Linked DNA regions of Arabidopsis thaliana. The protein of the gene in region 1 interacts with the protein of each later gene in a pairwise test. Each region holds a gene or a part of one and is shown in the gene's direction. Other genes may lie near its edges. The genes, in order: AT4G32285 and RGS1.

What was found.
Region 2: the proteins of AT4G32285 (region 1) and RGS1 interact in a two-hybrid assay, tested with the Arabidopsis thaliana proteins (one large-scale study listed by BioGRID).

Annotation. Positions count from the first base shown.
Region 1 is NC_003075.7:15,583,357-15,587,281, forward strand, and holds the start of AT4G32285 (ENTH/ANTH/VHS superfamily protein), read left to right. Parts: upstream 1-2,086; 5' UTR 2,087-2,515; exon of another isoform or gene 2,516-2,617; 5' UTR 2,618-2,646; coding exon 2,647-3,925. Other genes in the region: IAA29 (indole-3-acetic acid inducible 29), read left to right, coding at 123-382, 567-895, 1,001-1,091, 1,197-1,272.
Region 2 is NC_003074.8:9,530,370-9,534,294, forward strand, and holds the start of RGS1 (REGULATOR OF G-PROTEIN SIGNALING 1), read left to right. Parts: upstream 1-2,243; 5' UTR 2,244-2,513; coding exon 2,514-2,593; intron 2,594-3,029; coding exon 3,030-3,150; intron 3,151-3,245; coding exon 3,246-3,309; intron 3,310-3,390; coding exon 3,391-3,475; intron 3,476-3,579; coding exon 3,580-3,653; intron 3,654-3,747; coding exon 3,748-3,925. Other genes in the region: AT3G26080 (plastid-lipid associated protein PAP / fibrillin family protein), read left to right, coding at 1-35; AT3G26085 (CAAX amino terminal protease family protein), read left to right, coding at 473-542, 633-1,015, 1,092-1,152, 1,248-1,372, 1,454-1,516, 1,601-1,725, 1,887-2,028.

The DNA of each region.
Region 1 (3,925 bases):
TAAATAGGAATACTCATGATCCTCTAATTCAGCAATCAACACCAACGAACACAACCTTTTCCAAAGCCAATAATAAAAGAACAAAAGCTTTTAGTTTCATCAAAGACGAAGCTGCCTTAGAAATGGAGTTGGATCTTGGTCTATCTCTTTCACCTCATAAATCTTCCAAGTTAGGGTTTAACTTTGACCTCAACAAGCATTGTGCGATCGAGGGTGCTGCGTCTTGTTTGGGTACCGAAAAACTGCGTTTTGAGGCGACGTTTGGGTTAGGGAATGTGGAGGAAAATTGTTATATGCCAAAACAGCGTTTGTTTGCCTTGAATGGCCAGCCCAACGAGGAAGACGAAGATCCTCTGGAATCCGAGTCTTCAATAGTTTACGAGTGAGTACCTTGACTATTTTAGTATTTGACAACAATTAGGTTAAAGTAGTTACATCTAGTATTATTATATAATAAATGACTCCGTAGTTTTCAAAAATGTTATGATGTTGTAGACTTGTAGTTAACTCAATGGAGAGGCATAATTTGTATTTTTTTGTAACATATAATTAATTTTAATATTTAGTGATGAGGAGGAAAATAGCGAAGTTGTTGGATGGCCACCAGTAAAAACATGTATGATAAAGTATGGTAGTTATCATCATCGTCATATTCGTAATCACCATCATTGCCCGTATCATCATCGTGGTAGGAGGATCACGGCGATGAACAACAACATATCTAATCCAACAACGGCTACTGTGGGATCATCATCTTCTTCGTCAATATCATCAAGATCATCAATGTATGTTAAGGTTAAGATGGATGGTGTGGCAATAGCAAGAAAAGTGGATATCAAGCTTTTTAACTCTTACGAGTCCCTCACTAACTCCTTGATCACTATGTTTACCGAATGTAAGTACTAATTACGTTTATCAAAATCTAGAGTAAGAAACCTATAAACAATTGAAAATAGAACGTAACTTTTTACTACTATTGAATCTAATTTTGGGTTATCAGATGAAGATTGCGACAGAGAAGATACAAATTATACATTCACCTTCCAAGGGAAAGAGGGTGACTGGCTACTTCGAGGGGATGTTACATGGAAGTAAGTTTACTTCTCTATATTTCAAGAAAAATGACTTATTGAGTAATGACTACTATACTCTCTTTCTTATATATTGATACTTAACTTGTTGTTTTGGTTTTGTAGGATCTTTGCGGAATCTGTTCATCGGATATCAATAATTAGAGATCGACCGTGTGCATATACAAGATGTTTGTTTTAAGGATAGGCGTTCAAATCGGACCATTATTTTTTATTTTGTAATTAAAATGTCTATCATTTGATTAAATTTCCACTCGATCTTTTTCCTCTATTCTTCTAGTTCTTAGTATCAAATCCAATGGTTTATAATCTGTTGTTATCTGATCCATGGCTAACACATGGACAAAAAGCTAAAGAAAATTCAAAAGTAAAAAAAACTCATGAATTGTCAAAGACAGACTAGCTGATAATAATTAAGATGTTAGACTTTTTGTGTGTACCGAATTGATTTTTTTTTCATAGACTTGTTTGATTGAGAAACCATAAGAATGTAATGGTTGCGGACGTCCGGGTTTTACACAAGTAAGTATGTCACTTTATGTGATTCAAGAGATTTCCAAGTAATTAAATTTTGGTTTGAATTAGATCGGAGTACGATTTTAAATTGTGAGTAAACAAGGGGAAAAAAAAAAGCATGAGTAAACAGAAAAAAAATGACATAAAAACTGATACATTTCTTAAACAATTTAATTAGCTGAATAGCTGATAACAAAATTTAAAATGAATATTATTGATCTTAGCTTAAAATGCGTAATTTAGATTAAAATATTAATCAATAATGAATGATATATAAGAAAATCTTTTATTAAAATGGTTATTATATTTACAATTTGCATAAAATTATATCATAAGTTTATAATCTTTAAATTAAATAATATGACAAACATAATCTTTATATAAGGAAAATAGATATTTTAGTGAAATTTAGAGAAACACAACTTTAGATCTACTAAAGTTATGAATGAAACAATCAAACAACTGTAAAAAGATCCCTACAAAAATTGAAAATTATTTAATTACCAAACAAAACAAAAAGAAAAGACATCTTCACCGATACGTTCGGTGTTCAGACTTGAGTCTCTCTCGGACACACGGCTCCCGTCAATCCCGGTCACAAACCAAACCTTCGCATCTCTATCTGTCTCTTCAGATCGACGGCTCTAATCACTCCACGTCAGCTTGGACTCATAACTCTCTTATTAAATTGGTGTCTCTCTGTCTTTAGACACTTCATTTTGACTGGTTCGGCGAATCTGCTCCTTTAGTCATCTTCTCTTTTGAGAAAAGATAGATCTTCTTCACCTTCTTCATTGATCTCAGATCCCGATCCCGTCTCCTTATCTTCCGCCGGCGACTTCTTCATTTTTCTCTTCTACCTACCACCTCTTAATCATTCTCTCTCCCCCCGCAGATCTAGCGAATCGGTATTTATCTCCAAAGAAAAATTCAATCACAATTTCTCGTTGGATTCTCCATTAATTTCTCAACCAAATTGCTACTTTTTCTTTTGTTTGTGGTTTTTGAAGAATTCGAATCCTTAAGTAGTAGTGGAATCATGGCGCTAAGCATGCGAAAAGCGATCGGAGTTGTTAAGGATCAGACTAGTATCGGCATAGCGAAGGTAGCTAGCAACATGGCTCCAGATCTGGAAGTTGCGATCGTGAAAGCTACAAGCCACGACGATGATCAATCTAGTGACAAGTATATCCGCGAGATCCTTAGCTTAACTTCACTCTCCCGTGGCTACGTTCACGCCTGTGTCACCTCTGTTTCACGCCGTCTTAAGAAGACGCGTGACTGGATCGTTGCTCTCAAGGCTCTTATGCTTGTCCATCGTCTTCTTAACGAAGGAGATCCACTGTTTCAGGAAGAGATCCTCTACGCTACACGACGAGGTACGAGGATTCTTAATATGTCTGATTTTCGTGATGAGGCTCATTCTAGCTCTTGGGATCACTCTGCTTTCGTTAGGACATATGCTAGTTACTTGGATCAGAGGCTTGAATTGGCTCTTTTTGAGAGAAGAGGGAGAAATGGTGGTGGTAGTAGTAGTAGTCACCAAAGTAATGGTGATGATGGATATAATCGATCTAGGGATGATTTTAGGTCTCCTCCTCCAAGAACTTATGATTATGAGACTGGTAATGGTTTTGGTATGCCTAAGAGGTCGAGGTCTTTTGGAGATGTGAATGAGATTGGAGCAAGAGAGGAGAAGAAATCTGTTACTCCTTTAAGAGAGATGACACCTGAGAGGATTTTTGGAAAGATGGGTCATTTGCAGAGGCTGCTTGATCGGTTTTTATCTTGTCGACCCACTGGTTTAGCCAAAAACAGTCGGATGATCTTGATTGCCATGTACCCGGTTGTGAAAGAGAGTTTTAGGCTTTACGCTGACATCTGTGAGGTCTTGGCTGTTCTGCTTGACAAGTTTTTTGATATGGAGTATACTGATTGTGTTAAGGCCTTTGATGCTTATGCTAGTGCGGCTAAACAGATTGATGAGCTCATTGCGTTTTACCATTGGTGTAAGGATACTGGAGTGGCGAGATCTTCTGAGTACCCTGAGGTTCAGAGGATTACGAGCAAGCTGTTGGAGACACTAGAAGAGTTTGTGAGAGACAGAGCCAAGAGGGCCAAAAGTCCTGAGAGGAAAGAGATTGAAGCTCCTCCTGCTCCTGCTCCTCCTGTGGAAGAGCCAGTGGATATGAATGAGATCAAAGCGCTTCCTCCTCCTGAGAATCACACTCCTCCACCTCCACCTGCACCAGAGCCTAAACCGCAGCAACCACAAGTAACAGATGATCTAGTTAACTTGAGAGAAGATGATGTCTCTG
Region 2 (3,925 bases), on another chromosome or scaffold:
AGATGTTTGATCCCACTTATCGAATCCCTCTCTGATCTATCGAAAAAAATAGTTTCGAGCTATCATACATACTTAAAATCGCTTGTTCTGTCTCTCTATTCATCATGTATGTAAAAATCTAATAAGAGAGAATAAAAAGAGACTAGCTTTTGTCAATGATTCAACTTGTTTTGATCGACATTGCACCACATTAGATTAAAAAAGCTCTAAACTTTGAATTCGGTACAGAAAATCAGAAAAGGACTCATGTCCTCTTCTTTTGAAATATGTTACAATAAAAATTTGGTTTCATTTCTTCTTCTTTCTTGGTGCGTTTTCTCTGATAAACGACGCCGTATGAAGCTGGCGAGACACAGACCTCTCATTTCGACGCTTTCTTCTTCGTGAAACTCTTCATTTGTTTTATATTGGAAACAGAGTCTCTCTTATGAATCAAAGCGACAAACTTTGAGAAGGCAGGCGAAAATCTCGGATGGGTTCCATCGCTCTGCAATCTTGGAGCAGAGGAGCTTCAACTTCTCTTCATCTCCTTTTTCGTCCAGGTAGGTAAGTGCGATTCCTAACTTGATATGATCATATATATGAGAATTCGACAAAGATTTTTGGTTGAAATTTGCTTACTTGATGATCAGTTGGCTCGAACCCTAAGCTATATGATGCTCGAAGAGTACAAGTAAGATTCTTTAATGTTGCCGCTTCTTGGTCCGAACAGATGATCTCTTATACTATAGTCTGTTTATTTTGTCTTTTGGGTTTTAAGTTTGATGTAAGAGCCTCTTCAAGTCGTAAATCACTTAAGAAACTCAAAAGAGAGTCACAACAAGGTAAAGACATAGGCTTAAGAAATGTTACAGATGAAGAAGTTTCTTCTCCAAGATTTGAGGAAGCTCAAGTTGATTCTTCAACTTCAAAGGACTCCATTGATGTTTTTGTTGCTGCTCCTCGAGACAAAGTGCTTCAGGCTTGCACTGTAACTTCCGGTTTGATGGCTGCACTAGGTCTGATCATCAGAAAGGTGAATCCCAAATCTGAAAGTTTATGATTTTGTGATTCTAGCATTTGTATCTTGCTGATTTGGTTACCGCTTGCAGGCGTCTCATGTTGCTTCGACTGAAGGATTACTGGTTCCAGACTGCTCTATAGATGTACCATGTAACATCTCGGAAAACGATTATGTTGTGTACTAAGAATCCTTTGAGAGATTCAGTAACCAAAACATGTTTTGTATTGCATGATCTTTCTTGCAGTTGGGTTTGAAACTTGGCATCTCGGTTTAATTGCTGGAATCGTTGTGTTTATATCGTCAAGTAGGTTCTTGCTACTTAAATCTTGGCCAGATTTTGCTGATTCTAGTGAAGCAGCAAACCGACAGGTCAAAACATTACACATTATATACATTTATACGATTCTTTAAACTCCGCTTATTGTCTCCTTTGGTATTCACTACTTGCAGATTCTCACTTCCCTCGAACCTCTAGATTACCTTGTTGTTGCAATGTTACCGGGAATAAGTGAGGTAACAATAAACAATCACAATAAAACACAGAAAGGCTCTCCTTTAGAAAATGTCGTTCATTGGTTTGATTTGGTGTATTCACAGGAGCTGCTGTTTAGAGGTGCATTAATGCCTTTGTTCGGAACTAATTGGAATGGTATTGTAGCGGTTGGCCTCATTTTCGGTTTACTTCATCTCGGGAGCGGAAGAAAGTATTCTTTTGCAGTTTGGTAAGCCGTTTTTACTGAACATTTTGGTACCTCAATGCTGATGAGAATTGCGTAGACCGAATCTTGATATTAGATGATTGCCTTTAACATGTTCTTGCATCTCTCTATCACATTTCCGAGGTTTTCCTATTGAATTCTTTGCGGTTTCTTGAAATTTTCAGGGCTTCGATTGTCGGTATAGTCTACGGTTATGCAGCTGTTTTGTCGTCGAGTCTTATCGTTCCAATGGCCTCGCACGCACTCAACAATTTGGTGGGAGGTCTGTTGTGGCGATATAGTTCCAAGATCAAGTCATTGGAGTGAAATAAACAAAATTTACAACAGGGTTGAATTAAAAAAGTATACAATTTTAATGGGTGGGTTTGTGAAATCTCTCAATAGTATAGGGTGGTTATGTCAAAAATCTATAATAGAGGGTGGTTATTGTAATTTTAATGTACCAACTTGTCACAAAGGACAAGTATGAAAAATCTATAATTATAGAAGTGAAAAGTGAAAAACCAATCAGAATTGTTACCGGAAAAAGGAAGTGTCTTCTGGTCAAAAAAGTCAGAGAAGAAGAGAGAAACGTGAACAATGAAGAGACAGAGACGTCTCTTCTCTTATGCGAAAGTGTGAATCTTTTAAAGCTTTTTGTTTCAACATCGATAAATGAAGTTTCTTTTATTGAATTTATAGAAATTTGCACACTTTACCTTGACATTAAAGCAACAAGCTTTGAAACCAAATAAAATCTCAAAAACCCAGAAAGCGAGTGGAGAAGAGAGAGCTGATATGCTACAATAGAAATGGCGAGTGGATGTGCTCTACATGGTGGTTGTCCCAGCGATTACGTCGCCGTCGCAATTTCAGTCATCTGCTTCTTCGTGTATGTGTTCGAGCTTAAAAATCCCATTTTTGGGTTTTAGTTTTGAAGATCTAGATTTTTCATTTACTGGGTTTGCTTGTTGACTCTTGACTTGAGTCAAAATCTCGAATTTTGTGTCTTTAATCGTTTAAAATTTTCATACGATGTCTCTCTTTGCTATTTTAACTCTTTGTATTGTAAGTGTTTGATGTTATGTATCAAAAGATCTGTCTTTTGTTTCGTTTCAGTTTCTTTTAGCTGGGAATTAGATGGTTTCAGTATCTTGATAGCAAGATTCATATATTATGTCGGAATCGATTATTGAACTTAGATTTGAAGTTCAAAAGCTTGATTTAATGGACTAATTGAGTGGATTTGTATCATGAGTTAACTTCCAAGTAGTTCAATTTCTCTATTAAGTTGATTCTATCTGATGGATTTCACTTTGTTTATTTAGGCTGTTATCGCGCTCAGTGTTACCGTGTTTGATTCATAAGGCTCCTCGTACTAACAGTAGCAGTTTCTGGATCCCTGTTATTCAAGTTATCTCCAGCTTCAACCTTCTCTTCTCAATTATGGTTAGACTACTTGACTTGATGATTCCGTTGCTCTTAAGAATCACTTCATTTGTTGAGTTTCTACACTAATAGACTGTTTTATATTTAATTTTCAGATGTCAGTTAATTTGCTTCGATTCAGGACGAAACATTGGTGGCGATATTGCTATCTTTGGGCAGGTTTGTTTGGAAACCATGATTCCTCATCTTCGTAAACAAATTGACAGTTATATCAATAAGTCTTGTATAATTTGGTTTCAGTGTGGATTGAAGGACCACTTGGGTTTGGTTTGTTGATGAGCTGCCGTATAACTCAGGCATTTCAACTATACTTCATATTTGTCAAGTGAGGTTCAATGTTGATCAAAATGTTTTTGGATTCCAATTCTATCTCTATTGGTGTAATTGAGTTTAATGCTGTTTGGTTGTTACATATTCTTTGCAATGTAGGAAACGTCTACCTCCGGTAAAATCATACATTTTCCTCCCCCTTGTTTTGTTGCCATGGATCTTCGGAGCTGCAAGTAAGAATTGTTCTGAACGTTATATGTACTGAGCAGTTCTTGGTTTCTCTTGTTTTGGATAATAATAACTCAAAGCTTTTGATTTTGCATTTAGTTATCCACGCAACAAAGCCTCTCAACGATAAATGCCACATGGGTCTTCAATGGACTTTCCCAGTTGCAGGCCTTCATGCTCTCTATGTCCTTGCTTTAATTGCATTCACAAGAGCAGTTCGACATGTAGAGTTTCGTTTTGACGAGCTTAGAGATCTCTGGAAAGGAATTCTCGTCTC